Arabidopsis thaliana: one gene and its partners. The protein of the gene in region 4 interacts with the protein of the main gene of each other region in a pairwise test. Each region holds a gene or a part of one and is shown on either strand. Other genes may lie near its edges. The genes, in order: AT4G23950, SUN1, AT1G22882 and WIP1.

Region 1 (7,928 bases), 920 kb from region 4:
CAATGATTATATTTCAGGGTTCAACCGGTGTTAAATTCGCTGATGTTGCAGGGATTGATGAAGCAGTTGATGAACTTCAAGAGGTATCGCTTGACCAAATTTCTCGTGCAATTACTTTAGTATGCTTGCGCCAGTTCTTCCCTGAGTATGGATCTCTTGTTTTATTATGTGCATTCTTGGTTAGCTTAGCCTCTAAAACCCTTACCATTAGGGCTTCACTGCTACCCCATCAAGTATAAAGTTGCATGACATTATTTCGTTGAATCTTGGAAGCTCGAGAGAAACCGGGATCTGAAGCTTACTAACCTCTTAGTCTCATTACGATTATCTCATTTTCTTGATAGCTTGTAAAGTACTTGAAGAATCCCGACCTGTTTGATAAAATGGGAATTAAACCTCCCCATGGAGTTCTTCTGGAGGGTCCCCCTGGTTGTGGCAAGGTATGTGTAACCATCTATGCTAATGCCAATCGAAAAGATTTATTGTTAAGTATTGAATAGTATTTTTGTAGCAGCATTATACTTTAGAATACTAAGAAATACTATAGATAATCAAACATGCAGTGGTGCCTGTTGAGATCAATTCTGCTGAGGTTGATGGTTGTATTTCAGAGTATGCTGAGTGTTTGGCAATATCATCACTACTCCTTCAACTTAAACCTGAAATTTGTCTTAAAAAAGTTTTGAATGTTTAGTTGCTATTAACAAGTTATGATTGATTCCTATTCTCGATTGAGATCTTATAAAATCTCAATGTTTTATACAATTGTCAATGATCAGTTTACCTCTTATTGTAGTCGATTAGCTTTATCTACAAGGATCTTTTGACAACCCAGTTGCTAGCAATATAGAGCCTAACCTAACCTGATTTGCTTTCGTAGACACTCGTTGCAAAAGCCATTGCGGGGGAAGCTGGTGTACCGTTCTACCAAATGGCAGGATCTGAATTCGTCGAAGTTCTTGTTGGAGTTGGGTCAGCTCGTATCAGAGATCTGTTTAAAAGAGCTAAGGTGATTGGACATATGTGTATTTATACATTTCTGTGCAGAGATGTTAAATAGTATTTGATGATGTCTATGTCCTTGTGCAGGTAAACAAGCCATCCGTTATTTTCATCGATGAAATTGATGCCTTAGCAACTCGGTATACAATATTTTCGTCCCTTGTATCTAGATTTTGATATACTACCTTCCTTGCATAATTTTTCAACTTGAGACGGAGTTTAACTGATATCGCTCTTTATATTTTGGTATTCGTTAGACGTCAAGGGATTTTCAAGGAAAACTCAGACCAGTTGTACAATGCGGCCACACAAGAAAGAGAAACCACATTGAACCAGCTACTCATCGAGCTTGATGGTTTTGACACAGGCAAAGGTGTGATTTTCTTGGGTGCCACCAATCGCAGAGATTTGTTAGACCCTGCTCTTCTACGTCCAGGTCGATTTGATCGAAAGGTTTGTGATTAACAAAATCTAGACACTAAATCTTCTGTTCTCAAATTTTTGATAGCAGTTATTCGAATTAATAAACAACCAAACGACAATCGCAAGCCATTTGAATTTATCTTGCATTAATTTTGTAGACTTAAGAGTACCGGATAGACCGTTAAAAATAATCTTCTTATCAGATAAGAGTCCGTCCCCCTAATGCGAAAGGGAGATTGGATATTCTGAAGATTCATGCCAGCAAAGTCAAGATGTCGGATTCTGTTGACTTATCATCTTATGCAAGTAACTTACCAGGTATAAAATCTACAATTGATGTTGCAAAGAATATTTGTTATGCTCATGGTGTACCTTTTCCCATAGACAACTTATGTGTTTGAACGTATTGGCCTGTATAAAACTTTGATTAAAGTAATTGTTTATATCAATTACAGGATGGTCCGGAGCAAAACTGGCACAGTTGGTTCAAGAGGCTGCTCTTGTAGCTGTCAGGAAAACGCATAACTCGATTCTTCAATCAGACATGGACGACGCTGTGGACCGACTCACTGTTGGTCCGACACGTATTGGTTTAGAATTGGGACATCAAGGTCAGTGTCGTAGAGCCACAACTGAAGTCGGAGTGGCAATCACTTCACATCTTTTATTGCGGTATGAGAATGCAAAGATTGAGCGGTGCGATCGCGTTTCTATCATTCCTCGTGGTCAGACACTGTCTCAAGTTGTGTTTCATCGGCTTGATGATGAGTCCTACATGTTTGGTCGTCTTCCACAACTGCTTCATCGTCTTCAGGTGCTTCTTTTTCTCTATTAAAAAAACTCTTCACTCATTTCTCTAATATTCGATGTTACGAGTTTATTATACTTCTAAAATTTCTATTTCAGGTCTTGCTCGGAGGAAGAGCTGCAGAAGAAGTGATCTACGGTTCAGATACTTCAAAGGCATCAGTCGATTATCTCTCTGACGCCTCATGGCTAGCTCGTAAAATCTTAACCATGTGAGAGGCCCAATTTTGCATATTTTCACATTCCCCTTTAAAGTAAAAGCTTCTTCTTACTCAAGACTTATATATATTTGGATTTCAGATGGAACCTGGAGAACCCAATGGTGATACATGGCGAACCACCACCATGGAGAAAGAGACCTCAGTTCGTGGGACCACGCTTAGACTTTGAAGGATCTCTCTATGACGACTATGACCTCGTCGAGCCGCCAGTTAACTTCAACATGGATGATGAAGTCGCACATAGAAGCGAAGAACTCATTAGCCAGATGTATAACAAAACAGTTTCTCTCCTCAGGCAAAACCAAACCGCTCTCCTCAAAACCGTTAAGGTAATTTCAAACATTTAACCGCAATTGCGTTTTCGTTTGATTTGTTCATACTTTTATTTTCCCATGTGTAGGTTCTATTGAACCAGAAAGAGATAAGTGGAGAAGCAATAGACTTCATACTTGACCATTACCCTCCTCAGACTCCGTTAAATTCTCTCTTACAAGAGCAAAATCCGGGAAGTCTTCCTTTTGTCCCTGAACATCTCCGGCGTGAATCCGGCGACTTTGTCCTTGTTAATCACTCTACCGACGTCAATGCTCAAGTATGATTCCGGCGTCCCAGAGACATCAAATCACTAAGCTTAGGTTTATTCATTGTCCGTCATTGTAACTTCGACTCAATCTCTGAAGTTTCGGACAGTTAAATTTACAGAAATAAAGAAAAAAACTTGGGTCAAAGACACTTCTTTGATTTGCTAACAATAGATTAGACAAACTTAAGTATAAATTTAGAAACAAAAAAAGTTTTAATTCCGAGGAAATCGACGGACAAAAAGTTTGGTTCTTTGTTTCAAACCACACAAGACAGCAACAACACGAGTCATGCACTCTCTTTCTTACCTTTTTTCTTCTTCTTCATCCGTCTTCTTTTGCTCTTGTTCCTCGTGCCCTCTTCTCGGTTTCTACAGATACAGGTCATAGTCATACAACCAACGATCTCTCTTGACTCTCTCCATCTGTGCATGTCACACACGAGTATAGATCTCTTCTCTGCTTTATAGATATGGCGAGGCGCGGAAGCTGTTCGACGATATGCCTGAATGAAAAATTGCAAAGGTTTCGAATTGTCAGAATCTCCGACAAGGCTGATAATTTTAATTCCAGAAGCGGCAGCTTCTTCGAGCGTTCTATCTCTCTCGTTCTCTTACTCTGGTGCTTCCTCTTCCTCGTCTACTCCAAGCTTGGCCAAAGCCATGATGATTATGGTAATGCAGGTAAGTGTTCTTCCTTGTTTGAGAGAGATTCCGTTATCATTTCAAATGTTAATTAAGGAAACAAATTTAGGGTCTTTTAACTTGGGGGGTATATTCCAGAGATTGCTATATTGTGTTCCTCTGAAGAAATCAATTTATTTTGTAGATAGAATTGGGAATTACACTGATGGATCAGTCTCAAAGACACTGAATTCCACGAGTTCTGTCTTCCCTCAGGCCACTGAGAAAGAAAACAACTTTTGTCTCCTGAGAAAAGGCCAGTTACAAGATGTGTATGAGCATGTTCTTGTGAACAACGCTTTGTTGATCTGCAAAGTTGTGTTGCCAGAACGAAGAATAAGCAAGAAAACTCTGGAAGCTCGTGATCCTAGATATGTCAATCTTGAAGACAAGAGTCTCAAAGTTAATGGCTCATCACAGCTTGTGAATAATGGGACTCGTTATAGGTTAGAACCAGATGGAAATGGGTATAACTACGCTTCTGCTATGAAGGGTGCTAAAGTTGTGGATCACAACAAGGAAGCAAAAGGAGCTAGCAATGTGCTTGGCAAAGATCATGATAAGTATCTAAGAAATCCCTGTTCAGTGTCAGATAAGTATGTTGTGATTGAGCTCGCCGAGGAGACACTGGTTGATACGGTGAGAATTGCAAATTTTGAGCATTACTCTTCGAATCCCAAAGAGTTTAGCTTGTCAGGGAGTCTGAGTTTCCCTAGTGATATGTGGACACCTGCTGGGAGTTTTGCGGCTGCAAACGTTAAGCAGATCCAGTCATTCCGGCTCCCGGAACCTAAATGGTTGAGATATCTGAAACTTAATTTAGTTAGTCACTATGGGTCTGAGTTTTACTGTACTCTGAGTGTTGTGGAGGTATTTGGCATTGATGCTCTTGAGCAAATGCTTGAAGATCTGTTTGTTCCATCAGAGACTCCTCCCAGTAAACCAGCTATGGTGGAACTAAAAACTGCAGATGAAAAACAAGATGGGGAAATAAAAAGCAATAGGACAGATCAGATTGGCAAAGAAACTGAAGCTCAGAAGAAGAAAGATGATGTTGTGAAGACGATTAATATCATAGGAGACAAAAAGTATGAAGTCAAGGAGAAGCATAACGTTTTGAAAGTGATGATGCAGAAAGTGAAATTGATTGAGATGAATTTATCGCTTCTTGAGGATTCTGTAAAGAAAATGAATGACAAACAACCAGAGGTTAGCTTGGAGATGAAGAAAACCCTAGTACTTGTGGAGAAAAGCAAAGCTGACATCAGAGAGATCACAGAATGGAAAGGGAAAATGGTAAATTCAATAATTTCTTATGATTAAGTCTTTGTCCGTTGAAGAAACTACCAATGAATTTGATATTCTTTGAGCAGGAAAAGGAACTTAGAGACCTAGAGCTATGGAAAACTCTTGTAGCTTCCCGTGTAGAATCATTGGCTAGAGGAAACTCTGCATTGAGGTCAGTACTCTTTTTTATTCCTAAATAGAGAAAACAGAGGATTTGAAATCTCAAGCGGAGAGCTATCCCATGACTTGAAACGTATTCTTAGTTGACCCCATATTTCTTCTTGTTTCTTGATATCAGATTGGATGTAGAGAAGATTGTGAAAGAACAAGCTAATCTAGAGAGTAAAGAGCTGGGAGTTCTATTGATAAGCCTCTTTTTCGTGGTCTTAGCAACGATTCGGTTAGTCTCAACACGACTCTGGGCATTTCTGGGGATGTCTATTACGGATAAAGCTCGATCACTATGGCCGGATAGTGGCTGGGTCATGATACTGCTAAGCAGCAGCATCATGATTTTCATTCATTTACTCTCTTAGATAGCAGAGTTAGGCTTAGGTTTTTTTTTTTATAACAGTGCCTTGCTATTAAAGTTTGTAACCCTAGGATTAGGAGTAGAAAGAACTTTCATTGATAATATTGGACCCAAACTATCAGTGACAACTGATTTTCTTTAGTGTTTGATGTTCCAACTTCCATAGGTGTAAATGTAATCTGCCCGGTGCTTAGAAAACCAAATAAATTGAAAACCAAAAATAACTAAACCGAACCGAAACTGAATTAAACGAATTTCTTCCCAATTTCCAAGAGAGACAACGGTTTTGTTTTTTAGGGTTAAATTTTAAGGAACCACAAAACAAAACAATCCCCTTGATCCTTTGCCCTCTTTCTCACTATTCTCGACTCCACCAAAAAAAGGGTTTAGGAAATGGTGGTGTCGAAGTTCGGTAATGATAACGCGGCGGGAATGTCGATGATCGAGCAATTGTTTCCGGAGGTTACATGCTACGCGCTCAGATACTTAGATTACTCAAGTCTCTGCCAGTTATCAATGACGAGTTCCTCCATGAGAAAGACAGCGAATGACGATGTCCTCTGGAGAGCCCTTTATTTCCAAGTAATTTTGGACTCTCTTTAACCATTCTGTCTTGTTGTTGTTGTAGCTTTATGGAATAATGTGCTTCTTAGGGTTTGAAGAAATGAGATTTATTCTTGCACTCTCAGGTTTCTTAGAATTCATTGATATTGCCTTAAGACTGGTCTTGCTGATCCAATTGTTTTCCTTCATTTCATTCTCTACAACAAAGGAATTTACAGAGGAAACAAATGGTGGAACTCCGGTTAATGGGTGGAAGGCGTTCTTTGCAGTTACTAAACAAGTCATGACTGTGAATGATAAATTCTTTAGCATCCTCGATTCGAGGTCACTTCCCAGAATGACTAGTTTATGGCTCAACTCTGACTATGTCAAGTGCTTCAACGGCTCTGGTGAACTCTTCACCGGGTACTTACTTACCTACCCTTTACTATAATCTTTGTCTTTTTATTTTTCTAGAAATGTGGCTCCTTCCAATGTTTAGAGCGTTTTAAACATCGTATTGATTTATCACTTGTATTGCTTCGTTTTTAGGTTTGACGCAGTGATGCAAAGATGGGACTTCTGTTTCGACAACTGGGAGATAGGGTTTCCAACGTATGTCATTGAATCGAGGACACGGATTCTGAGCAGCGTGGCTTGGGTCTCCACGATCGCGCTCCATCACATAGGTCAATTCAACATCACCAATGTCTTTGAGCTTCATAATGGACGATGGCTCATGGTGCACCACCACTCCTCCATCATCCCCACAAACGGTGTGGAGAATTAATAAGAAGTTGTTTTCATCCATAGTGTGTATGGTCTTGAATCAATCTCGCCCTAGAGGAAACAAAAAAATGAACAACAAAACTGCGTATTCGGAATTGGTTAGAATATTGATAGTAATTTTCTAGCTATATTTTCATCTTAGGACAAGGTTATGTTTCTAATACATAAGTCGAATTGCTTGTGCGACGAGTTTCAACAACTTGGCTAGCCAAATGTTTTTTCCTATCCAACAATACAAAATAAAACTGTTAAACAATGAATAATAATAGTGAAAAACAAAAGTTGTTGACTCATGTAATGGCGTTTCTGTAACTGCACCAGATTCGGGATGATGGTATTCCACGATTTGGGAACCTCCGAATCTGACGGACTTAAGAAGAGTACTCAAATATCCTACGGCTAGGGGAATCTCACAGAGTAAGTCAATGAAAGTCAACATCGATCATTTGGAGGAAACGTGAGGAACAAAGATCCCACTTATCCCGGAATATTTGTTTTTTAGCCGGTCCAATAATCTATCCTACTAAAACCATTATTATTAGTTCACTAATAATATAATAATTACAACATCAGTGACCAATAACATTTCCATGTCTAAACTTTATTTATCCGGCTGCTTGAATTAATAAAAAAATATGTGGTCCCTTTCTTTTCAATTTACAATACATTTTATAAGTTAATAATTTAATTAATTTTTTTTGTATTTAAGTATTTTTTAAAAATTAATATATTTGATTAGAAAAAAAGAATATGATAAAGTGTCCCTCTCATATTCGGATTGTTTTTATTGCTTTAACACTCAGAATTATATTTTCCCGTGGAAAATGTCCTAAATTGAAACCCAAACGGATAGGCTTCTACTATTTCTATCATTTTCAAAACTTTTATATTTCTGTTTTAAGATTTTCAAAACACTTGACCAACAGCAATGAAAAATCTGGTAGCTGATCATCTGATAAGTTATTTTTAACTAGTGCTGGGATAATATTCCATAATTTAGAATAAAATCCTCAATATAATTACTCTTAAGTCTTAACACTTTCATAAGTGATTATAGACT
Region 2 (8,089 bases), on a different chromosome or scaffold from region 4:
GATATAGGTATGCTGCTTTCCCATTCCAACCAGCTTAGGAAAAGCTGCAAGTAGACCTTCGATTCTGATACGGGACATATCCACATAGTGTCTGGAAACAATCACTACATAAAAAAGAAGAAAGTTAGAAAAAACGCAAAAATATTGAAAAACGAGAATTCGAAGACAAAGTCAAAGATAGATGAAAATAACCTTTCCCAGACTTGACCACAATGGCAGCAGCAAGCACAACCTATAAAGCACAGGTTCCAACTTTAGAAAACGCGCCAGACACTCATCAAACACTAAAGTTAACACCAAATTGCGAAGATGCACTAAAAAGGAAAAAGAAAAAAACCAATCATAGAACAAAAGTCAATACCATTTTGATTATTCAGGCTCGAACAATCTCGGCGATTATAAGAAAGGTAATGCGAATCTGAAATACAAAGAACCAATGTTAGAGTAAATCCAGTTAGAGCGAGATCAGAAGAAACAAACGGGATTTGATCTTCAGGATCATAAATCACGTAATAGAGGAAGAGATCTCGAATACACGAATCCAAACGAAACTAGACTAGCGAATCGAAAATATAAAAAGAATTCATCGCAGATCCAGCGGATCTACGAGCATCAGAGGCTCATAATCGAAAAACATAACTGTAGAATCAAAATCAACACAAGCGGATCAAATTCATGAAACAGGATCGCGAAATTTAGAAGGAGGAGAAAATTCTTAATAATGGAGATCCACAGAAATGTAGCCAGAGAGAACATTCATTCAAAGGAAAACGAAAATCATCACCATCAGTGAAGGCGAAGAGCGAGAGAACAAGACGATACCTTGGGAGTGATCGAAGGAGATGAAATCACCAGTTTCTTCTTCACAAGCTCGCCGAGTAAAAAAGATGAAACGAGTCTCAGATTAAATCCTGGTGTGTGTGTTAGAGAAAAGACGATCCACAAAACAAGGACAAGTAATCTGGGCCGTTTCAGTTCCTTATTGGGCTTTCCAACCCAGTAAATGGAAGAAAAAATGCCAAAAGGGCAAATTCGTCATTGGTGCAGACCGACGACATTCGGTTTAGTCCGGTTGAATTTTGAAAGGAATGTACTTTCATGTATTGAGATTTGTAGCAATCAATCATCTTCAAAAGTCAATTTCAGTTCTAGGGTTTTAATTTGATACGAGGTCAGCGAATCCGGCGACGAATATCCGCCACTAGTAACTCTAGCTCAGGTAGGTTACTCTCTCTCTCGTTTTCTTTCTTTATCTGGTTTTCACTTCGTCCACTTAGAAGTATGCTCATTTGATAAATTGGCATTTGACCCCAGTTCAGGATTTAGGATTCTGATTATCTCTCAATACTTGATTAGTTTAGTGCTTAAGTTATTAGTTTTTGGTATGCCCACTTGCGCCATGTTCGTTTCTAAAGCAATGAGATTATTTTCATTTAAAGATCTGGAAAAAAGAAACTAATGGAGACAACGGCAAATGAAGATGGATTTTAAGGGTTTTTGTTCTTAGTAAAAAAAAGTTATCTTCTTTTTAATTTTCTGAGACTTTAATTGCTAGAAAGTTATAGGATTGATTCAGATAGTGGAATCAGACAACTTTTTCTTTTATGGGCGATTACTCATTTTTGTTCTTTGGTCTTCTGATTGTTTAGTTTCTTAGCAGATGATTTAGTCTTCTCTTTTGTGATCCTTTTTTGCTTTCCTTGGAAGTGTAGGTAAGGATTTGTGTCCATGGCAGCTTTGCAAACGCTTCGTGAATGGATCGGTATCCAGCAGTTCCCACCTGCTACTCAATCTAAATTGCTCGAGATCCTTGGGAAGTATAAAGAAGAGGTTCCTTTCTTGTTTCTAGCTTCATCTGCTTTCTGTTTGTTTCTTCTTGTCTTAGAGAGATTTAAGAAAGAAAAAAAACTGGTGTAGGATGTGAGCTCGCTAACGGTCCTTGTAATGGGGAAAGGTGGTGTTGGAAAGTCATCAACTGTGAATTCAGTTATAGGCGAGAAAGCTGCTGCAGTTAGTACTTTCCAGGTGCCAAGTTTAATGCTCTTCTCATGGCTTGTCTTTATGACTATTGGCTATCTTTCTTTTAATTTTTCTCATAGAAAGTGTGTGATTTTCCCTCTTTATAGTCTGAAGGACTGAGGCCTACCTTGGTCTCTCGCACAAGATCGGGATTTACATTGAATATCATCGACACTCCTGGTCTTATTGAGGGAGGATATGTGAATGATCAAGCCATCAACATTATAAAACGGTATGATGAACTGTTTCCAGGTCTAAGGAGTTACTCTCCTAATTTGGGGCTCATTTGTGGCATTTGTATTAATTTGGATTCGTGGATGTTGAATTTGAACAGATTTCTCCTCAACATGACTATAGATGTGCTACTATACGTAGACCGTTTGGATGTGTACCGGGTGGATGACCTTGATAGGCAAGTTGTCGGTGCTATAACTGATGCATTTGGTAAAGAGATATGGAAGAAGTCTGCTCTTGTTCTCACCCATGCTCAGTTCTCTCCACCAGACGGGTTAAATTATAACCACTTTGTCTCCAAAAGATCTAATGCTCTTCTAAAAGTTATCCAGACAGGCGCTCAACTGAAGAAACAGGATTTGCAGGTATAGTTTTTTCCTCCTTACATAAATGTCTGTAACGACCTTGATAGTAGTCAAGTTAATAGACTCACTTACCTCTGATCTTTTATTGTAGGGTTTTTCTATTCCTGTCATTCTTGTTGAGAACAGCGGAAGATGCCATAAGAACGAAAGCGATGAAAAGGTCAGTTGATTGGTTTTGTCCACGTTCTCTTTTTCTCGCGTCTTGTAGTAGTTGGACCAATCTTGAAGTCGGATTTTCCAAATTTGTGACAGATTCTTCCATGCGGGACTAGTTGGATTCCCAATCTGTTCAACAAAATCACAGAGATCTCTTTTAATGGCAACAAGGCGATTCATGTTGACAAGAAACTGGTCGAAGGGCCAAACCCAAACGAAAGAGGAAAAAAACTGATTCCTTTAATGTTTGCATTCCAAGTAAGCCCCTCTGAACCATTCAGTAACAATACAGAATAAGGCTTGATCAAAACATCATGCATCATTTATTCATCTTTTGATGGTTTGAAAATGCAGTACTTGCTGGTGATGAAGCCATTGGTTCGAGCAATCAAGTCCGATGTTTCGAGAGAGAGTAAACCGGCGTGGGAGCTGCGAGACTCCGGTTTAGCAAGTCGAAGGTCTTGAGTTGTGGACACGAGTTTTGTTTGGTTTGTTTGTCTATCTGAGAGATTGTTCTGTAGTTGAAATTGTGATACAACTCGAGAAATGTGGTTCACAGATAATTACTGTCGCAAAGTTCTCTCATCTTAATTACATCTTCTTTAGCCTCTCGTAAATCGTAATTAAGAGCTACTCTCTTGGTGAAAATGATTAGAAGAGATAATTCCATTTTGTCATTAATGGTAAAAGTAACCGCTGCAGTTATTTTTGACGCGATGCAAGTTTTGAAATAAAATAAAAATTTGAGTTAAAGAAAAAAAAAACCGATGTTTAAAGGAGGAATTTGGCAAACGGAGAAGACGGTTCAGAGAAGATCGTTTACTCTTTCCTCAATTTCGAACAAAGTTTTCGAATTTTCCAACTCTCTCTAGTGAATTTAGGGTTCTGATTTCGACATTAGTGTAAAGATTTGTTTTTTATCCGAGGGGTGCGATTGTGTAGTCAAACCAGATCAAATGTCGGCATCAACGGTGTCGATCACCGCTAATACGGCGGCAGCGACTAGACGGACGCCGATTCTTGCCGGAGAGAAAAAATCAAACTTTGATTACCCTCAAAGCGAATCGCTTGCGAACGGTGGTGTTGGGGAAGCCGGTGGTACGAGTAGAGATCTGAGCCGCGGTGAAGCTACCCTTGATCGATCTCAGGGACAAGATTTGGGTCCTGTGACGAGAAGGTCTGTTTCCGCTGCGACGGGGACTAATACCACCGCTACGCAGCGCCGGACGCGGAAGGTTGCGACTCCTAAGTCTGAGAAAGCGCGGTGGAAGACAGTGGTGAGGATATTTGCGAAGCAGCTTGGTGCGCTTTTGATCATTGTTGGGTTAATTCAATTGACGAGGAAGATGATTCTCAAGGCTTCTTCTCCGTCCTCTCCGATTTCTTCTTATGAAACGGAGATGGCGTTTTCGGGATTGGAAAGCCGAATTGCGGAAGTAGATGGTCTTGTTAAGGCTACGACGAATTCGATGCAGGTTCAAGTTGAATTGCTTGATAAGAAAATGGAGAGGGAAGCAAAAGTGCTTAGGCAAGAAATCGAGAGGAAAGCTTCTGCATTTCAGAGTGAGTTGAAGAAGATAGAATCTAGAACTGAGTCACTAGAGAAGTCTGTAGATGAAGTAAATGCTAAACCTTGGGTGACGAAAGATGAGTTAGAGAGGATTTATGAGGAACTGAAGAAGGGGAATGTTGATGATTCTGCTTTTAGTGAGATTAGCATTGATGAATTGAGGGCTTATGCTCGTGATATTATGGAGAAAGAGATTGAAAAGCATGCTGCTGATGGCCTTGGCCGAGTTGATTATGCATTGGCTTCTGGTGGTGCTTTTGTGATGGAGCATTCAGATCCTTATCTTGTTGGTAAAGGGAGTAGCTGGTTTGCGACTACCATGCGGCGCGCTCATACGAATGCGGTTAAGATGTTATCTCCGAGCTTCGGTGAGCCTGGACAATGTTTTCCTCTGAAAGGTAGCGAGGGCTATGTGCAAATCAGGCTGAGAGGACCAATCATACCAGAGGCTTTCACATTGGAGCATGTAGCTAAGGTAATGATACTCTTGTACTGCAAACTATTTGTGTTGGTATCAGTTTTCTTTCTTGTGTGCTCTTATTACTACCTTTGGTGTTTGCATTTACAATGGTTTGATATTGAGATGCCTGGAAAAAATGACGCCATTTTCTTTGTGACTGTTGATGGCATGAAATTGTTTGAATGAGGCTTGAGATTAGTTTAGATCGGTTGCTGCAAAAGATCTGAACTGAAGAGGATTATGGTTACTTAATAAGTTTCGTCATCATCCAGTAGGTCTCGTCATAGTTCTCCAATTCTGTGTGTGCCATATGCCATTGACCTTTAGGAGTTTGTTTAAGATCTGTTTTTTTCTGGCATTATCTTTTGAAATTGATTACACAATACCACTCTATCGAAGTATCTCAAACCTTTGTCAAAGAGTTCAATAGTATGCATAAATAGATCCTTTGAGGGTTTTGGGTTATCTTCTGTTTCTATTTGCAACGACTGGAACTAGACTATTTTGTTTGTTTGGGGTTATTTCAATGACAATAACCGAGTAAAATGAAATAAAGAAGACATTTGGATACGCTCATTACTTACTGTCTCTGGACATTTTTGGGTCATTCTTATTTTGGGGATTATATATGTACACTGACCTGATGGATTGATGCATTGTGAAAATGAACAGAGTGTAGCCTACGACAGATCGAGTGCTCCAAAAGATTGCCGTGTATCAGGATCCCTGCAAGGACCGGAATCCTCAGCGGAGACAGAGAACATGCAACTTCTAACAGAGTTCACTTACGACCTAGACAGGTCGAACGCACAAACATTCAACATCTTAGAGTCATCAAGCTCTGGTCTAATCGATACTGTCAGGCTAGACTTCACCTCGAACCACGGAAGCGACTCGCACACTTGCATCTACCGGTTCAGGGTTCATGGGCGTGCGCCAGACCCGGTTCCTGTTGTGGGAACGAATCTTGATCAGGACTCTTCACCTGAAAGTGAATAAAACCTCTTCTGTTTTGTAACATTCCTTCATCCACATCTCTTTTGTTGCCTGTGTTTTTTATGGAAAGAAAAAGAAAGCATCAGATTCTGTGATTAGACTAGTAGAGAGTTGTTTGATTTGATTATGTCTTCTTTGTGTTACCTTTTGGTTTATTTGGTTGCAGAATACATAAATCAAGAAATCCAATTTATACTGTTAATCTTTAAAACGCATCTTACCTATCTTCTAGTCTCGATATGATAATAACATCATTTTAAAAGAATATCTCCAAATTGGTTTTGTTCTAGCAGAAATATACAGCTACGTTCAAACGTCCTATTCAATTAAATCACATCAAGTTCAAAAGTTTACCGAATCAAATAGTTTCTTTATATAATACCGAATCAACTAGTAGTTAGTTTTTATTCTTAAAATCGTTGAATAAAAGATACACACTTTATTGTAAGACCACAAACTAAAGTTGATCTTTTATTGGACTGCTCTAGGCTCTACGTATACCACACGCATATATATGTGCACGAAAAACGTTACTTTCTGATTGAAGTAATCAAAGTTCGGTCAAAGGATTCATATATATATAATGGAATCTATGTCTATCTAAGTATCTATAGACCACATAATAGAAAGAAAAATAAAACAAAAGATGAAAAGGAAGAGAAGATTTGTATAAATGAAAAAGCAAAGAAACAAGAGGGGCATATAAGTATCAAAGGAAGGGAACAGTGTTCTTGATTTCAGACTTTTTCAGAATATATTCTTTCAATTATTTTACTTCTTTCTTATCTTTGCTTCCTAAACTCATAAAGATCTCTTCTTTTAAAAAAAAAAAATATAAGAAAAACGAAGAGAAGACCGAAGCATTGCATAAGGTAAAAACAATAATAATTCCTTTCCGCTACAGTTTGTTAATTCTTTAGTGTTCGAAGACCAAATCTGAAGAAGAAAGCTCTTGAATTCTCCCTCATACCACGAGAACCATCTAAAGAAAGTCGCTTTAACTCTTAGAACAAAACATGTCGGATCCACTCTATATATTTAATAGTATGTCCCTCTGTGTATATATCTACATGTGTGTCTCTGTTTATCTTCAGAATTTTGTCGTCTCTGTCTCATATATTGCAGCTATTTCTTGGCTCTTTTTAAAAAAATTTTGCAGGGTCTCAATCCGAGATAGTAGTTGAATCTCTTTTAGCTTCAAGCAATCTCAGATCTTCAATGCCTACTCAGCAAATCCAATCCTTAAGGTATATACCCATAGTTATACATCTTTGTTTGTGTTTTTTTTCTCTGTATAGATTCTTGATTTCTTCTCTTATTTTTAGTTATCCCTCGAAACAGAGATGTTTATTTCTAATGTTTTGGTTTTGTGACTATATGAAGAGTCTTTGTGGCGACATGGAACGTGGGAGGAAAATCTCCACACTCTGGTCTTAATCTTGATGCTTTGCTTCACGTGCATAGTGAATTCGATGTATACGTTTTAGGGTACACAATTTCAAAATGTCTTGAGTATTTCTTGGATTAGTGTCTTGAGGGTTGTCGATTTAATCTTGTCTCATAGTTTTCAGGAGATTGTTCCATTGAATGCTGGAAATGTCCTTGTTCTTGGAGACAACGAGCCTGCTGCGAAATGGTTAGCGATGATCAATCAATCCTTAAACAAATCATCATCATCTTCTGGAGGAAGACTTAGCCCAAAAACTCCATCTTTTGGCGCTGGATCGATGTTCTTTGCGAAACCTTCTTTGAAGAAGATTAGTGAGAGTTTCAGAACAGAGTGCAGGAGAAAGCTGAAGATCTGTAACTGCAGCACTTTCTCTGAAGATATTGTAAGAAAGTATGGGAGAGAATCTTGTTTCAGATGTCCTGAAGGTCTAGTTAACCAATCCGGTGTACTTTCTGATGACGAAGAAGATGAAGATGATGACGATGATGATGAAGACGAGGATGAAGGAGGAGGAAAAGTTGCTTCTCTTGTAAGCAACCAAATGACGATGAAGTATGGCTTAGTAGCATCAAAGCAAATGGTGGGTATATTCCTTACTGTGTGGATGAGAAAGGAACTTATTCAACACGTTTCTCATCTCAGAATCTCCTCCGTCACCCGCGGAATCATGGGTTGCTTAGGAAACAAGGTACAGTACTTTACCACTTTCATACTTAAAAACCATAACAAGTAAAAAAAAAAACTCTGTTTCTGATATTCTCTTCTTCTTCATCATCATAGGGATGCATAGCTGTGAGTTTGCAGCTCTACAAGACGAGCTTCTGCTTCATCTGCAGTCA
Region 3 (8,727 bases), on a different chromosome or scaffold from region 4:
ATTAACTTTTGGGATTTGTTTATGTAATTCGAAAATAAATTGTTTCACTTTGCTCTCTTTTTTCTTTTGGTTGTGGATCTCCTTAATAGTTTAAAAGGTTTAGTTTGAAATAAATCTCGACTTGAGATGTGTAAATGTATGTTTGGACGTGTGAGTGTCTTCGGACGAAAGGGACGGTGTAGCAAAATTTTGGTTAGTGAATTGTATGTATGTTTTAATTATGGTTGTTGTTAGGTCATGAATTCGGTTCGATCAGAATAAACCAGAACGGTTTGAATTTGGTTTAGATATGAAAATTTCGTCAAATTTTTTTTTTTTTTTTTCTGGCCGGTTTCAGTTCGAATAACAAAAAAATAGTTCTGATTAAAATACTATAATTTGTGGAAAAGAGAGTACAATAATCAATTTATCTAAAATGACTTTATTATATAAGATATACAACATATTCATATATATTCACAATATATGATTTAAAATTCCAACATGCTCTGAAAAGGTTCAACTTGTATAAGACACAATAAGTTGTATAATTTATAATAGTCAACTTGTAAAAGCTTGACCCAATAAAAGAAAAATCTTGACCCTTCTTCTTACACAATACTCTTTTCTCTATATGGAATCTTGATCACTTCTTTTTTTGGTATGAAATTTTGATCACTTCTTCTCGGTTACTTGTATGATTTTGTTTATGGGCCTTGTCCTTTGTGTGATGTAGAAGGCGGTACAAAAATTGGAGGGGCCATGGAACGATGAGGAGGAGGAGGAGAGGGATGGGAAACGCAATCCAAACGCAAATTGTTACCTGCACCACATTGTATGATTAGTTTCTCCAAACAAAAAAAATCTATAAATATAATAACAAAGAAGGTGAATACAAATATAAGTTATATAACAATATGTATATAGACGAGACGAGACCTATATTATAAGCATGAAAATGAGTGTAAAAAATACTAACGTAGGTTGCGTTTGGCCTCGCCTAGTCCAACTTGTGAGGAGATAGATAGAAGCAGAAGAAACAAAGAGAGAAGAAGAGCAACTAAATTTGATGTTTTTGCAGCCATTTTGCTAATTTAGTGTTCTACTCTCTCTCAATTTCATAACAAAGACTAGCTTCAGGATGATTTATATAATAAAAGCTTCCTTGAAATGTAAAAGGCTAAAGGATAAGCATCGCTGAAATGTACTAGTCGCCAACTACATTTCTATTCAACGCGCCTTTAATTTTCCATACGAAAGTCTCTTGGCTCACGTCCTGTTCTGTTTAAATTTATTTCTTCCACCTACTTAGGTTGAATTTTAGACAACTATACAAACCATATAGGATATATATTTTTGTCATATAGCCAAATATTTATCTGTGAGTACAATTTTTTCGTGGTTTTGTCACAAATTGTTACGAAAACAATGACAGTGATTAAGTTCAATCCGTAGTCATCTCTGACCAGTACTAAAACACGACATAGTCATAACATTTCTTCGTGATTATGACAACTGATTTAGCCACAATTGTTTAAGGTTAATTGGCAACAGATTTATAACTTTCAACTGCAATGGTGATTTAGCCACTGAAAGTAGTGGAAAATTAGCTATGATAAATACATGGCCAAACCACTAGAACCGACAACATATATATATAACCAAATACCGTTAAAATATCTTAAAAAGTGATATGATCGAAAACGTAATTATATGAAATCACAATACAACATTAATCTCGAGTCTCTTGAGTCTTGACAATTATAGTTTCTTCTCCATCACTTGTCAAAAAGTACTTTGGCTTATGGACCTTTTCCTTTGCGCGATTTAGACGGCGGCAGATATATAGGGGCGGTGGGAGGGCGAGGGTAATCATAATCCACACGCTGTTCTTGTCCTTGACCTGCTTATTAACAATATATATGTCATTCACCATAAGCTTTTAACTATCTACATATGATTTCTTCTTCACATAAAACATAACTTTTAACTTTTCTTTAACATATGATTATATAATGAAACATGATCTAAAAACAATACATCTACAAATCCAGACAAAGATTTTTCATGAGGAAAAAACAGATTAATCTTCACAGTTTTACATAAGAAGAAAATGATGAAGATATAAAGATGAGAGACTGATAGAAAGTCATTGGATATGTAAGCTTCTTCTTTCAGAAAAACCAATATATAGGAAAGAAAAAGATCGAATATGTACTAACGTTTGTTGCGTGTGGCGTCGGCGACTCCAACTTGAAAGGATATCAATAAGAACAGAAGAAGCAAAGAGAGAAGAAAAACAACTAAATTTGATGCTTTTGTAGCCATTGCTTAAAATAAGTTGTCGATCAAAGTCTCCCACAAATTCAATATATAACGAAGACCAGCTCCTCTGTTATTTAAGAAAATGAAGCCTCGTTGAAAGTTGTAGTACTCACGGGTCCCTTGTACCCACTCACCTACTATATCCACTCAACGCACTTACTTTCACTTTTACTTACGTCCGCAAAAGAATTATGCCCATTTTTTTCAATTTTTCTATAGACTATATAAGAAGACTTCATTGTATCGAATACAATCTATGTTACAAATTAGGCATTAGATTATTGAGAAAATTGCTAAGTATATGTATGTGTGCCGGTTATTGAAAAACAAGGTATATTTCATCCATTGGTAACATGACTCTACAGTGTAAAAATAAGACCAAAACTCTCATCAAAGAGACAAAACGAACATAATGAATGTTGAGCTAATCAATAACAAGAGCCAAGCCCCACTACCGGTCTTCTCTGCTAGACCAGTTCCCATACCAATCACAACTGCAATAACCGCAATAATGCCAAACCCTAGACATACGGTGAAAACCGTTAAGCATTTCTTCTCCATCCACTCAAGTCTTTTACTTACTTGCTCAAGACTCTGTCTTATGTTTTCCTTCTCTTTCTCTGCTTTCTCCATCTCTGCCTCCACTCTCTTTCGCCACTCTTTCATCTCCTCTGCTTCACTCACCATCCCCTCTTGCCTTTCCTTCATACCTTCCAAGTCAAGTCTCAAAGCCACAATCGCCTTTTCTCTCACACCGGCTTCACGGTCCATCTCCTTGAATATGTTCCCGTATCTCAGGTTCAGTTCCTCTAAGTATCTCTCTAGAATCGATAGGTTCAAGTCCAATGACCTTAACTTCTGCATCAGTATCTTCAGTACTGTGTCCCCTGGCATTCTGCTCCCTGGCTGATGATGCCTCATCTCTTCCACGGGCTCTGACAGCTTATTACTACTCTTCGCCATTGATGCTTCAGTCTTCGCTAACATATTCTCTGGTGGGGCTTCCTTCTCTTTCTCTCTGTGCGTGCTCTTATCAGCACCATCATCGCCTTCAAGTGACTCTATTTGCTGCATTGGCTTCTCCTTATGCTCAGAATCTCCTTCTCGGGGTTTGTATGCATTTTTGTTGTCCTGGACAGATATCAAATCCTCCAGCATTCGTTCTACGGCATCCACACCGTAGACTTCTATTAAACTCAAGGTGCAGTAGAATTCTGAACCATAATGACTAATAAAGTTTAGCTTTAAGTATCTCACCCACTTTGGCTCAAGAAGTGTGAAGTTCTGCTCATGCTTCACGTTTGAAGCCGTGAAGTTTCCCATATGAACCCAGGTATCAGTGGGATAAACTAGGGTGCCTTGAAGCTCAAACTCTTTCAGATTGGAAGAGTAATGCTCAAAATTCGCGATCTTGATGGTATTTACCAAAGTTTCTTCTGAAAGTTCTACAACAACAAATTTACCTTCAGTAGAACAAGGATTTCTGAGGTACTTGTCATTGTCCCTGCTTAGGATGCTTGCAGCCCCCTTTGCTTCCTTGTTGGAAGACAAGACCTTTGCGCCTTTTGAAGCAGATGCATAATTGTACTCTTTCCCTCCAGGCTCCATCCTGTGAATCACACCACTGACCTGATCTGATAACGATTTGTTTCGAGAATTGGACGCTCTGCTCTTGAACTCATCAAGGCCAAGCGGAACCGCACGAGATGGTTGATCAACCTTTGAAACGTTGATCTCGGTACCATTCCCTAAAACTGTTTTGTTCATCTGATTTTGCTCCAAGAACTCATTGTCACTGCTTTCTGTATCATTCCCTGTGCCTGTCTTGTTCAATTGACTTTGCTTCAAAAAGTTATTATCGTCTTTGCCTTCTGTATCATTCCACGTACCTGTATTGTTAATCTCACTTTTCTTGGGAAAGTCATCATATTTGCTTCCTGCATCAATCCCTGTATCTTTCTTATTTATCTCACTTTGCTTCAAAAGGTAAGTGTCCTTGCTTTCAATATCATTCCCTGAAACTGTGCTACTGATCTCTGCTTCCTGTTCTTTGTCTTCACTTTCTTCAGACAGGTTTACATCATCATTCCGACTCAAATCAGACGTAACATCAACAGAAGCAGACGCTAAGGATAATGGTCCATCAAAGGGCACAACTTTCTCATCTGACTGACCATCATCCGGATCAGCCATTCCCATAGAGTCGTTCAAAGGCTCATCTACAAGTACACAAGAGTTGGTTCTTAACATGCTTTAAGGTAATAAAACGACAATGATGTCCACCAAAGAAAAGAACTTGAAGGTTACCTTTGGCACCATCTCCATGACTAATCAACAAGGTGGAAAAGAAGAGAAGAACCCAAAGGAGAAAAACAAGAGACAAAGAGACTTTGTAAAAGCTGTTCCTTCCATTAAACTTGTTCACAGAAACTCTTCTTCTAGTTCTACACGACCTTTGCATTGCACATCCACTAAACGATTACACAGGACACGCCCTGTTACCAGCAAATACACATTAGATGTCAAAGTTAATCAACTTATAGTATAAACCCAGAAAGACAAAGACTTTTAATAAACTCAAGCTGCAAATAAGGAATTTGAGTTCCAAGATCTGATTTTTTGGTGCGTGGATTACACAATAGACCGGAAAAGTGATCGGAGAAAGAAAGAATCACCTGAGAGAGAATCGAAGAAAGAAGATATGTGTGATCAGCAAACAACCCAGAAGAGGAGGAGGATTGGGTACGCTAACGTAGACGTCTCCGATGAGTCTCTAATGGATTGAATCTAGGCCAATGATTTTCCGGCGATATCTTTCGTCTCCGCATCACTAACGACGAAGCGTACACGGTTCACCAGTTTCGATGTTTCTGGGAATCTATATGAAGAAGAAGAATCACACGAGGTTTTTAACTGCGGCGGTGAAAGAAGAGTCAAAGAGACTTCAAATTGACAAAAATTTTGATTAGAGAGAGAGGCGAAGAAGAAGAAGAAGAAGATGGATTGGTCCAGGGTTTACAAATTTCGGCAATTTTATTGATTGATTGATTTTATTTTAGTTTAGGTTTATTCCTTTTTACGGAAAGTTACAATTTCCGAAATTTTGTGCTCTGTGTTTATCGTTTTCCATACATGTATGTTGAACTCGTAACTTTAATGGATTTCATAAAATTAATTAGAAGTGTTGATGAGTTAGTTATAACAACACAATTTAGAATTGGACAATGATGTTAAGCCTAGAGTTCTCTTTTGAGTTTTGGGTTACTATTTTGAAGCAAGTTTTGAAGACTAATAAAAAGGTCTATATATAAATATTTAAACAAAAAAGGTCTATAGAATGTCAACTTCTTAATAAAATTGTGAACTGATTATTGGGACTATATGCCTCGACAAAATAAAACACTTTAATTTCGGACAGGGAAAACGACAAAAAGGTAAGTGGAAAAAAGAGAAAGAAGGAAGATGATGAGCTGTGATTTGTGCGGCACGTTAACGTGAAAGCCAGCTTTCGATTGTGTTCCCTTCACAGCTGGCGATTTTCAATCCTTCTTCTTATACGTCGTTTTATACTTCAATATATTGTTTTATAATCTTTTCGGTTTAGTTAACTCATCTACTGGACAAAATCATTCTTCATCTTATTATATCATCGATGAACCAAATGAAAAAGTCTTCGTAGTGATTTATTTAGCCAATAATCCGAAAGTTACATATTCAGGAAACAACATTGTCACTGTGATGGTAGTTTTATTGGAAGCATGGCGTAAAACTCGCTATATAAGTTCGACCATTGCCAAGTTGATATTGATGGTGTCACTTAGTTTCGAATCATTAGTCGTCTCGAAAAAGGGTTAATTACACCACATAAGATTAATCCCTCTGTTCAGTTCCGTAACCACTTAAGAGCCAAAGATGGGCGTTTCTAATTAGTTCATTAATGATGGACCTAAAAGCCCATTAGAGTTTACATCTGAAATAGCCTTACCCATTACGCGGTAAGGGTTTTAGACTAACCGATTTATCTAACCAACTTTTCAAATCAAAGCAACCAACTTTAAAGTGAGTGGCGATTTACGGCGATCGGCTGGCGGCGAAATACGCCAATGGTCCGACGAATGCGGCGTTGATGTATGTAGCTGGCTCTGATCGGGTGTAATCGTCTCTCTGGTCTGGATACTCATCGTTTTGATTCGGTCCTCCGACAATTGCTCCGGTTAATATGTTAGGGTTAGGGTTTTGTGTTCTGAATGATTGGAATCCGCCGTTACAGCCCAGAGAATTGGAACGGACGGCTCGGCTCGGGAGAGAGGAACCTCTGTGATGGATTCTTTTGGGGAAATTGGAGCTGAATCCAACCATGTACGACATCTTCATTGGATTCACACCGAGGACGTAATCGACTTGTCGCTTCGATAGATTTATCAGTGCGTTGGGGACGATTAGTGAGTTTCCGCAGTTGAAAGTTTGTTTTGTGGATTTCATATATTTGGCGTAGGTGGTGAGCAAGAATGTTATTGATGTCACGTATTGTAGATTGCTCTGAGGTAGTTTGTACATCAGTCCACCTGAAAGTTATAGCTTTTAGTATTTGAGTAATTGAAATGCTTTTGGAGAGAACTCTGTGTTGAGTTTACCTTTAGTGTACTTTGTTGACGAGGATGGAGAATTTGGAAGGATCTTACACATGAAATTCTCAGCTGCTTGCTTGTAGAGTTCAAAGTTGTTGTCTTTGTTTAGTACTGCTCGCTGCGAAAGAAATGTGTTTGTAAATCATTGAAGGAAATGGTTAAGTTATGTCTAGGAATTTTAAGGATTGAGACATACTCGTGAGAGAAGAACATAGGCACCGGCGTATTTATTGTCCCAACTGAAGATGTCAGGCTGATCTCCTCCTCCTAAGGATTTTATGAAGTTTGTGTAATACGGGTCGTTGGTTGCTCTATGTAGCCATGCTGCTCCCCATAGTAGCTCGTCCTGATATCATAAGAGTAGTTAAGTTTTCAACGATTCATTGATATGTCTTTCTCAGTTTTGGAACAATGTAAACATATGAATCTCTACCTTGTAGCCAGAGTAGGAGCAGTAGAACGGACAGACGGAAGAGGAAAGGGAATTACTGTAAGCGCCTCGGTATTGAATGGCAAACTGCATGACCTTCTTTGCTGTCGCCAAGAGCAAGCGAGAGTACTTGGGATCTACTTTCCTGAAAACCATGGAGCTTGCAGCTAGAGCAGCAGCGGTTTCAGCGGCTACATCAGAGCCAGGGTTTGAGGGAGATACAGAGTAGACTGTGCGAGGAGTGTCCATATCTTCTGGTCGTTCCCAGCACTTGTGGTCACCATTAGGATCTCCTACTCCAACGTAAAGCTTCCCTGGTGTAGCCCTGGCACATTTCAGTAGATAATCCGTGGCCCAACGGATGGCCACACGGGAGTTCTGGAGCTCGGGTCCCATCTTCTTACCGTACTCCAAAGAGCTCCAGGAAAGCATGGTTGTGGTGAACGCCATCGGGAAATTGAACTTCACATTGTCCCCAGCATCATAGTAGCCTCCGGTCAAGTCCACCTGCAACTCATACCGTGTTATTCAGATGGATTTACTATGCTTTTACTACTTGACTATGGGTATACAGTTTTAGGGTCTTACGTGAGCAGATGAGCCATCAGAGAGGCCAGAGCTAGACCTCCATGAGAGTTGTTGGTCACTAGGGAGGCGACCAGACCGCTGACCTTGGAAAAAGAGTAATGACTTTGAGAGTGCTTCTCTGTAATTGGGACTTGCATAGGTATTCTCCAGTGAAAGCGCAGAGAGAAGGAACACAAAGAAGAAAGGAGAAGCCATTCTTGTTATTGTGTTGGCTTGAGGGTACGACTTTATCACACACGTATATATATAGCTAGAGAAGGAGACCGGGGCTGATGAGATTCAGAGCGAAGATTATGGCTTTTTGAAATTCAGCTTAACTGCTAAAAAAACTGTTCTTAGTTACTTCAATTTGAATTTCCTTTTTAATTAATATTTTATAGAACTGACAAGTGGAGGATTACATGTATTATTCTGTAATCTTCTTAATATGTTCAATTTTTTTTTAACTAATAGTTTGATTACCACATAGGTTTGTCTATATGAGTTCACCGACACAAATTGGTAATTTCTTGGTAGTTTTGATGTTTGATACTTATCTTTTTTACCACAGTAAACTGTAATGAAGTGTATTTTAGATAGTGGCATTGCGTAATACGTACGATTAGGGGATAGATAAACAATGTCTTAAATCTTGATAATAGGGTAGTTAGTTAGGTAGTATTTAGTTTAGTTAGGTTAGGGATTTTGGGGATTATGATTTAGAAAAAAGGAGGGTACGTAAATGGCGCCAAGATAACGGCGACGGGTCTATAGGAGGACTTCAATTTAAAAGAGTTT
Region 4 (7,830 bases):
ATCCAATGCGTAAATTAGCATATTTAATTTGGGAAATTTTTATAGAATATGTTTGAGTAAGTATATGTTGAGATATATGAGAAGGATGAGCTCTCTTTATATAGTAGAATAGCAATCTAAATACCGTGTGCTCTGTCTGCATTACCAATACCAGGTTGATTATTAACTTTAAGCATTTTGAGAAAGTACTTCGTGGAGAAGCTTAAAACTATCTTATTTTCTTCAAAATGAATTAACCTAAACTGCCCACTACTTAGAAACCACGCACACATGCACCTAAGTAGGGTTACTCTTGTGTGTAAATGTCGTCATATTTACTTTTTCGTCATCAGTCATTTTAATTTGTTGCATTTTTTGGAAGTTAATTTTGGGACCATGGGTTCAATTCAGTGTATTGATCAAATCCATGACTTTGTTAATCACGGGTGTACACAGAAATCTATCCATCCTTTTCTTCTAACTTGAGAATTCGAAAATTTAAAGATTTCATTTTAGAATCTCTTTAAATTTTCATTATTGCACTATCGACCTTAGGCTAAATTTGTCAATTTATACATAAATCGTTATAATAATCCTCTTTATATCAAACAATTATCTATGGTCTTACTACTCTAGTAGCTAGGAAAGACCTTTGTCTTAGATAAGTCTTTTAATTCTTTATACAAAGCCAGTTTTAGAGTACGAAGATATTATGGTCTCAAAATTTAAGGGGCCTTTTGAAAATTACTAGATGTTTGGGGTTCTTAATTACGAAACAAACATATATTATTGAATGGTTATTTTATATTTTAGTTATTTAATTATTTGGCGTTTTTGAAACGACTACCGTTGAAATTTTTTGTAAGACATTAATTTCGCCATAACTCTTTTCCTTATGTATTCTTCTTTGAAAATGTTACAAGCTTCTTTAACAACAATTTCATGGAGCTGATATTATTATTCTTCTTTCTGATGGCACTGTTGGTATCTCTCTCCTCTTCAAGTTCCATATCGGGTATGTCTTTTTGTTGTCTTCCTTCTCCACCCTCCATCTTTAATTTGTTTCTAATGGGTCGTCGCTTTCTGTAGATGGTGTGTTTGAATCACAAACCTCGGTTAGTGGAAGGAACCTTCGTCATGCCAAGAAAAGTAAAAGCATCCTCATCCTTTTAATTTGTTAATCCGATTTGTTAATTTACTTCTGCTTTTCATTTTATGTTTACGTCAATGTGTGAATATAGACTCATGTACATATTTATGATATGTATGATATATTGATATATAGCTTGGTATGGTGAGGATTATGACGTAACGTCGGAACTAGGAACATTTGTACTCTTACATGAATTTTGGTCCTGTCTATAAGCTAGAGATGTTTAATTTATAGATTTCGGTTATGTTTCAGAACTTTTTCATCTTTGGTTTTAATTTAAAATCAAATTGTATCATTAGTGTTCTTATATAATATTTGTATTATTGGATCAGTGTATCAAGTTTGTGTATAGATAAGTATATATAAGTGGTGTGACACTAACTCTTGTTTTTTGTTTGGTTGGAAACAGAATGTGAAGTGAACTTTGAGTATATGGACTACAAGGTCTTGACAAAGAGGTGCAAAGGTCCAGCGTTTCCAGCCAAAGAATGTTGCTCTGCTTTTAAAGAATTTGCATGTCCTTACGTGAGTCAGATCAACGACATGAATAGTGATTGTGCACAGACAATGTTCAGCTACATGAATATTTATGGAAACTACCCTACTGGCCTTTTCGCTAACGAGTGCAGAGAAAGGAAAGATGGGCTTGTTTGCCCTTTACCACCTCTCTATTCACATAACCTAAACGCCTCAACTGCTGATTCGACTCCTCGTTTTATCTCGCTGTTGATCTCTGCTGCAACCGCTGTTTTTGCTTTGTTAGTGTTGACTTGATCAATCAAAGGAAATTGAAAGAGCCAAAGAGTGATTACATTTTGATACCATATTAGCTAACAAACTAGATAGAATTATCAAATTGTTCTGTTACTGACCAAGTGTCCAAGTGTAAAGAATACTTGACCTCCAAAATAAACAAAAGAAGAAGCGAGACTTACTTGATTAATTTTATTACCAGAGGCAAAACTTATAGCCGAATTGTTAACAAGAAAAGCCAAAAGCCAAAACAAAACTCAGTTTACATCAAAAATCAAAAGTCATGTGGGTACAACAGTATCTGGCTCCGGCAACAATTGAGACAGGAGCAACAAAACTACTGTTGACAGCAATACTAACTGTATAAGAACGTATGAAGTGATCTTACATGCTCTCTTCTTGATGGTCCCGGTGATTTCTATGCAATCGTTTTGCAGGTCTTGAGCTCTGTTTGTAAAATTTGCAGCCTTCGTTTGTACTCTTCCTAGCTTATTCAGCGTCTCATGGGTTTGCTCTTCTGCCAATGACTCTTGTTCATCAATTAACTTCATCTGACTGTTTAAGTTATCGATAGATCTTGAATATATCAGATATTCAATCTCGGCCTCAATCTTCTGCCGGAAGATGTCTTCAACCACAATCTCTGTTCCTCCCCACGAGTGTTTGCTTTGGTTCGTGGTGGATTCAAGGTCACGGATGTGTGATTCTTTCACCTCAAGCATGGACCTTGTTTCTTCTAGCATGTTCTCCAGTTGTTCAACATTGTTTACCAGGGTTACAATCTCGGGGTGAGGTGAATTTGCTTCGCTGACTTGTTCATGATGCTGTGGCATTGGTTCATTCCCGATCTCCTGGAATTGCTGAACCTCTGCAAATGAAATTTCATAAAGAGTCACATTAAACATCATAATCATTGTTCATGTGATGTTATTAGTTGATTCCAACATGATAATGCAGGCTCATAACAAGAAATAGTTATGTAACAGCAGTAAAAATAATGCAAGTTTAGATACAATCCGCAGCAAAAAAATAATCAGAATGGCTACCTTTTTCAAGAGCATCTTGCAAGGCCAAGAAACCGTTGATGGCCTCTGTTAATGGATCCATTTCATCTGAGTAACGATTGTCCGTGTTTATCGACTCTCCGCCTTCTCCTCCCGCATCATCTTTTCTCATTGACGTTTCCCCATTTTCACCATTGTAGTCCATCATTCTTCCACTCTGCTTTCTTGAGTCAGATTCCAAGCTGGAATAAGAGTTTTCCTTCTCGAAATCGACACTTTCTCCTCTATGTTTCTTACTATTCTCTACACGAATGTTTCCTCCCTGACCTGAACTAATCATTGGCTTCTCATACCTAATAACCTTGGGAGCTCTTGCAACCGTGGAAGACTTACTACTCCGATCATCATCTATCTCTAAATCCATACCAGCTGAAAAACCAACCCCTGCCACAAACCTAGAATCGTAACCACTACTCCCAAGTATATCAAAACCATCACCGCTACTTTTCAACATATTAACAGACCCAACAGATCCCTGACTCTCTTGTTCAACTTCCGGTGACTGAAACTGCATCTGTTTACCATGTGAATGAGCAACACCTGACAACCCTCTCTTCAGAGCTTTACTATTCTCCATATTCGCAGACGTGTCCTTAACAAGATCTCTCCTAATCCTCCTCCATTTTCTCAAGCCTTGTCCTTTCAAAACCGGAGAATAAGCACCACCACCATCACCTGGTGAATCAAAACTCATAGGTTTACCGAGTTCAACAGAATTAGAAGTCGAAAGCAGTTTCACACTCTCATCAGAGCAAGACCCGTTATCCAAACTCCTACCATCATCACAAACGTTGCTGGCACTTTGTTGAATCAAAACATTATCATCAACAGACTCAAGTGCAGAGCTTTCACTCTCCAAATCCATTGACTCCACAAAAAAATCTATCCCCCACCAAATTCACATCGGTTTCAGAAGTAACAGGAGCTCAGATCAATAACCCAAAACCCGAAATGAGGATCCCAAATTCGATCATACACAATCAAAAAGTCAACTCAACAAGCTATACAAATTCATTGGTTCCTTGACGGTTAAATAGAAATATAAAGGTCTAAAATTTCCTACCATGCCACCATCTATCGGATCAAAGAAGAGAAGAAATGATTCCAAAAATGAAAATCCAGCTCAATGGAAGAACACAGATTTCGAATTGAATCGCAAAGTTTTGGTCTTTTTGGAGAAAGGAAGGGTATACAGCAGAGAGATGGAAAAAGGAGGGTGAAAAGTGAAAACCCTAATCCAATGATCGGATTCGCAGATCTATAATTCTCTCGTTCAATGTGGAAAGTTTCTTTGTGGGAAAAAGTTTATTCTTTTTTCCCTCATGATCAATTTTGTTCCTTTTTGAAAATTACGTGTGGGTGGTTGGAATATAACACGTGTCGGAATCGCCTGACCTCTCAGCATCACCTTCTTCATTTTTGACCGTGAGATTGGACACGACATATATATACCGTTAATAATTATCATTTTGGTTATTACAATTTCAGAAAATTGTTGAACTGACCTAAAACATGGGGACAGTGTGAGAATAAACAGAGAATTACAAAGGGTACATACAACCATAAAACACCACAAGTCACATTCTTACATCATCTGAGAGGATTGAGATTAGCACAAACGAAATTGGGCTACTACACACTCATTACACAGACTGAAGAAACATAACAAAAAAAAAGAGAATCAGAAAGGCTTCTCGTAGCCTCGAGCTGGAGGTTGGTCCCAAGCTTGCAAGAATGCTGCACAATTGCAAAGACATAATGAATCTCAGCTCTTTAAGAAGCTAAAATAGAAAAGAGAAAGAATTTGATATTGGTCTTACTCAATGGTATTTCTCCGAGTGACATGAAGATCGAATCATCGTCTGTATTATTTGGTACTTGGTCATTTCCAATAGCTCCCTGAGACGTTTTCAGGATCTGTTAGCAACAACAAACATTCTATGTGACATAAAACTTGACAAGTAGAGTAGGTACCTCTCGGTCTTGAAGGCTAACTGTGTTGTTATTCTGTGGGACACTACTGGTTCCCTGGTTTATTGGAGTAAAGGAATCAAGATACTCTACCATCATGAGTCTTTCATTGTAGTCTGGGACGTCATCGATGCCCATATATGGAGCAGCTTCTTGCCTGTTAGATATGAAAACCCATTAGCCAAAATGTAATAGGTGTGTGTATATATAAGTGTTAAGAGTAGGACTTGGCCGTACTTTCTTCCTGGATCATTGCTGGACTTTACCACTTCTTGATCATCATCCAAATTAATCACTTCTATCTCTTTACCATTGCTCATCCGAGTACTCGTACCAAACTCGAGAGACTTACTAGAACTGCTGATTGAGAGATCAAAATCAACAGCTTGACGAGATTCCTTTATCCCATCATTCACATCCGACGCTCCCCCTAGATTTAGGTCACACATCTTAAACGAAGCAGGAAACAGCTGATGTTCTTCAGCATACCCTGGACCTGTTCTGCCAGTGTGTGTCCTATTGTATGTAGAGTTATTAACCAGACTTTCATGGCTGACCCTTTTTCCAGCAGCACCGTCAATCAGTCTTTTGTTGAACGAGCTTGTCTTTCCTTCTTCTTCCGGATCGCATTGGTTTCCGCTTGTTTTAAACATGTTGAAGCGTTCATTAGCTTCAGAAACTGCCACCCAATCTCTCTGTCTTTTTGATCCCTCCTCCAAGTCACTGCCTTCACCAGGCCTTTTCTCACCTACTTTCCCCACCGAATGTGATCTGTGCAGATTAGGCAATTCTAATCCTGATTCTTTCTCACTGTTATCCCTGAGAATGCTACTGGGAAAAGAATTAGACCTATGACATTTACTGTTCTCAATATATTGAACAAGAGCAAAATCTTCAACTTGGTCATTTTCATCACCAGTACTATCGGCCTTTCCAGATGATTGGCCTCGAGTCTCACATCGATTTTCGGTTTGATCTTCTTCTTCAAGTCCAGAATTATGAGAGGTATCCTTGATATTATGACTCAAATAAAGCTTTGGGCCTTTTGCAGTCAGAGAAGAGCGTGTCCTCGTAGGCACCTTCTCAAATTTACACAGCGTTGCCAAATCAATACCACTCTTGGTGAATGATTCATCAGCCCCACACTGTTGATCAATAGATGCATCTTCACAACGTTGATGGATAGATCCATCTTCGATAGCAGTCTGGTTCTCATCCTCTCCACCATTACCACCAGACCTACCTTTCATCTCTCCTGATCCAGCACTCAAGCTAGAAGAGCCTTCGGATACTTTAGAGATTTCACAATCCTGTACTATATCTTTCCCGGCACTCGAGGAACCTGTCTTAGACTGTGCCTCATCCTGGAGATTGTACTTGTCCAACACAGACTCGGAATCACCTGCTCCTTCACATTTTCTCATAAATTCACCAGAGGCTGACCGCTGAACCGAGCTAGCAATATCTTCAGCAAGCGGCTGCTCTTCTTGATGCCCAGACACAGAGTCGTCACCAGTCTCAGTCTCAAAAGCTTTACTTCTCTCTGACCAAGATCCGCTCCTCCCAAAATCCGAGTCATAACGGTGGGATCTCCTTCCTTTCAAGCTATTCCTGGATCCAGCTGAGCTATAGCCATCAATATACCTCCTTTTCTCTGCAGCTGGAGCTGAAACATCCATTCGGGCTTCTTCTTGAGACCTGGAACTCTGAAACTCTCCAGCTTGCTTCCTAAAATTACCATTCTGCCATTTACTGGAAAGCACAGTTTGTGGTAGAACACCTTGAGAAACCAAGTACTCTGTTGCTAGACGACCTGCCTCCATGAAAACGTCACCGCCACTGCTTCTACGCTGCACCGGTGGAGGAGGCAGAGGCGGAGGCAGCTGATTGTGGTATGATTTAGAGCGTCCCCTTCCACGTCCATATCCACGGTTAAAGCCACGGTGTTGGTGTTCAGAACCATAGAACCCATGTCCTCTCATAGGACGCTCAGGAGAAATTCTAGAACCAGACATACCCATCCCAATAGAACCAGATCTGTACCCATTCCCAACATTGCGTTGCCTAGCATGCATCTTTGTCCCTAAATATACAAAAAAAACTAATAACAGTTCTGATTTCCAGGAATTCACAAGAGTAGTGAAACCATTTAGTCTCAAAATACCAAGAAGCTTAAGTTATTTCAGAAAAAGTAACAACTTTTGAAGTTTTTGCAGCAGCTCAAATAAGTTTCACCGGACAGAACACAACAGCTTCTAACTTGAACTTGTTCTTCTCAGACCAATCCTTGTGCGAAAGAATAGAAAATCGAACAAAACGATGGATCTCGAGTTCCAGATTCGGTGAAGATCTAACCTTCTCTCTTACAGAATATGACGATCATTCGATTCCGTTGTCCGATTTCGAAGAATGAACGGACACAATCATCTCATGGGAGATTTTAATGGTCATTTTCACTTCAGTTCTTCTTCATCAAACAAGAACCCTAGAATTCCCCACCACAAAACAACAGTCAAATGTTACGGCAACGGCAATCAAATCGAGGTTAAATTTTCCGATCTAGTGTCTCTCCGATGAAGAACACGACGAACAAGTTTGTAATAATCAGTCTCCAGATTTCAGCGGCGAAAATCTCGATCGCTGCTGATTACGATTTTGGGGTTTTCGCATTTTTATTTGCGTCTCAAAAGTTTTTTCTACCATATATTATTAGCACAAAGACGGAAAGCATGAAAACGCCACGTCAGCTTCTTTGGTAAACTAGCACTAAGTTCATCTGTAAGACGCGTGACTTCTACTCTCCTGCTTGTACACTATAACTGTATACACTTCATGTCCAAATAATATCATGCTTATGAGATTAGAATTTTAAAAATGGCATGTTGGAAATGTTTTATTTTGAGGATAGAA

Evidence for each region.
Region 1: the proteins of WIP1 (region 4) and AT4G23950 interact in a protein complementation assay, tested with the Arabidopsis thaliana proteins (one study listed by BioGRID).
Region 2: the proteins of WIP1 (region 4) and SUN1 interact in a protein complementation assay, tested with the Arabidopsis thaliana proteins (one study listed by BioGRID).
Region 3: the proteins of WIP1 (region 4) and AT1G22882 interact in a protein complementation assay, tested with the Arabidopsis thaliana proteins (one study listed by BioGRID).

The regions. Positions count from the first base shown.
Region 1 is NC_003075.7:12,438,791-12,446,718, forward strand, and holds AT4G23950 (Galactose-binding protein), read left to right. Parts: upstream 1-3,256; 5' UTR 3,257-3,506; coding exon 3,507-3,717; intron 3,718-3,862; coding exon 3,863-5,013; intron 5,014-5,087; coding exon 5,088-5,176; intron 5,177-5,302; coding exon 5,303-5,540; 3' UTR 5,541-5,757; downstream 5,758-7,928. Other genes in the region: FtsHi1 (FtsH extracellular protease family), read left to right, coding at 18-83, 345-440, 881-1,009, 1,090-1,142, 1,260-1,455, 1,629-1,743, 1,881-2,239, 2,332-2,444 and 2 more; AT4G23960 (F-box family protein), read left to right, coding at 5,975-6,118, 6,309-6,505, 6,632-6,869; AT4G23970 (uncharacterized protein), read right to left, coding at 6,588-6,890. UniProt on the Arabidopsis thaliana protein: Encodes a member of the mid-SUN subfamily of SUN-domain proteins. It is involved in early seed development and nuclear morphology. [TAIR].
Region 2 is NC_003076.8:1,469,412-1,477,500, reverse strand, and holds SUN1 (SAD1/UNC-84 domain protein 1), read left to right. Parts: upstream 1-3,471; 5' UTR 3,472-3,730; coding exon 3,731-4,819; intron 4,820-5,476; coding exon 5,477-5,803; 3' UTR 5,804-6,020; downstream 6,021-8,089. Other genes in the region: AT5G05010 (clathrin adaptor complexes medium subunit family protein), read right to left, coding at 1-104, 193-232, 362-364; TOC34 (translocon at the outer envelope membrane of chloroplasts 34), read left to right, coding at 1,729-1,830, 1,918-2,025, 2,127-2,251, 2,354-2,618, 2,710-2,778, 2,871-3,032, 3,129-3,239; AT5G04980 (DNAse I-like superfamily protein), read left to right, coding at 6,817-6,844, 6,960-7,047, 7,184-7,288, 7,365-7,938, 8,031-8,089.
Region 3 is NC_003070.9:8,095,188-8,103,914, reverse strand, and holds AT1G22882 (Galactose-binding protein), read right to left. Parts: upstream 5,524-8,727; 5' UTR 4,980-5,523; intron 4,800-4,979; 5' UTR 4,766-4,799; coding exon 4,612-4,765; intron 4,524-4,611; coding exon 2,695-4,523; 3' UTR 2,451-2,694; downstream 1-2,450. Other genes in the region: AT1G22900 (Disease resistance-responsive (dirigent-like protein) family protein), read left to right, coding at 1-5; AT1G22890 (uncharacterized protein), read right to left, coding at 687-802, 959-1,064; AT1G22885 (uncharacterized protein), read right to left, coding at 1,782-1,885, 2,202-2,307; CEL5 (cellulase 5), read right to left, coding at 6,376-6,869, 6,939-7,050, 7,129-7,278, 7,366-7,869, 7,951-8,145.
Region 4 is NC_003075.7:13,361,721-13,369,550, reverse strand, and holds WIP1 (WPP domain interacting protein 1), read right to left. Parts: upstream 4,269-7,830; 5' UTR 3,815-4,268; coding exon 2,932-3,814; intron 2,754-2,931; coding exon 2,167-2,753; 3' UTR 2,020-2,166; downstream 1-2,019. Other genes in the region: AT4G26460 (S-adenosyl-L-methionine-dependent methyltransferases superfamily protein), read right to left, coding at 1-21; LRE (lorelei), read left to right, coding at 922-994, 1,069-1,128, 1,542-1,906; AT4G26450 (uncharacterized protein), read right to left, coding at 4,631-4,686, 4,770-4,848, 4,924-5,077, 5,158-6,995. UniProt on the Arabidopsis thaliana protein: Mediates and enhances the nuclear envelope docking of RANGAP proteins mediated by WIT1 and WIT2 in the undifferentiated cells of root tips.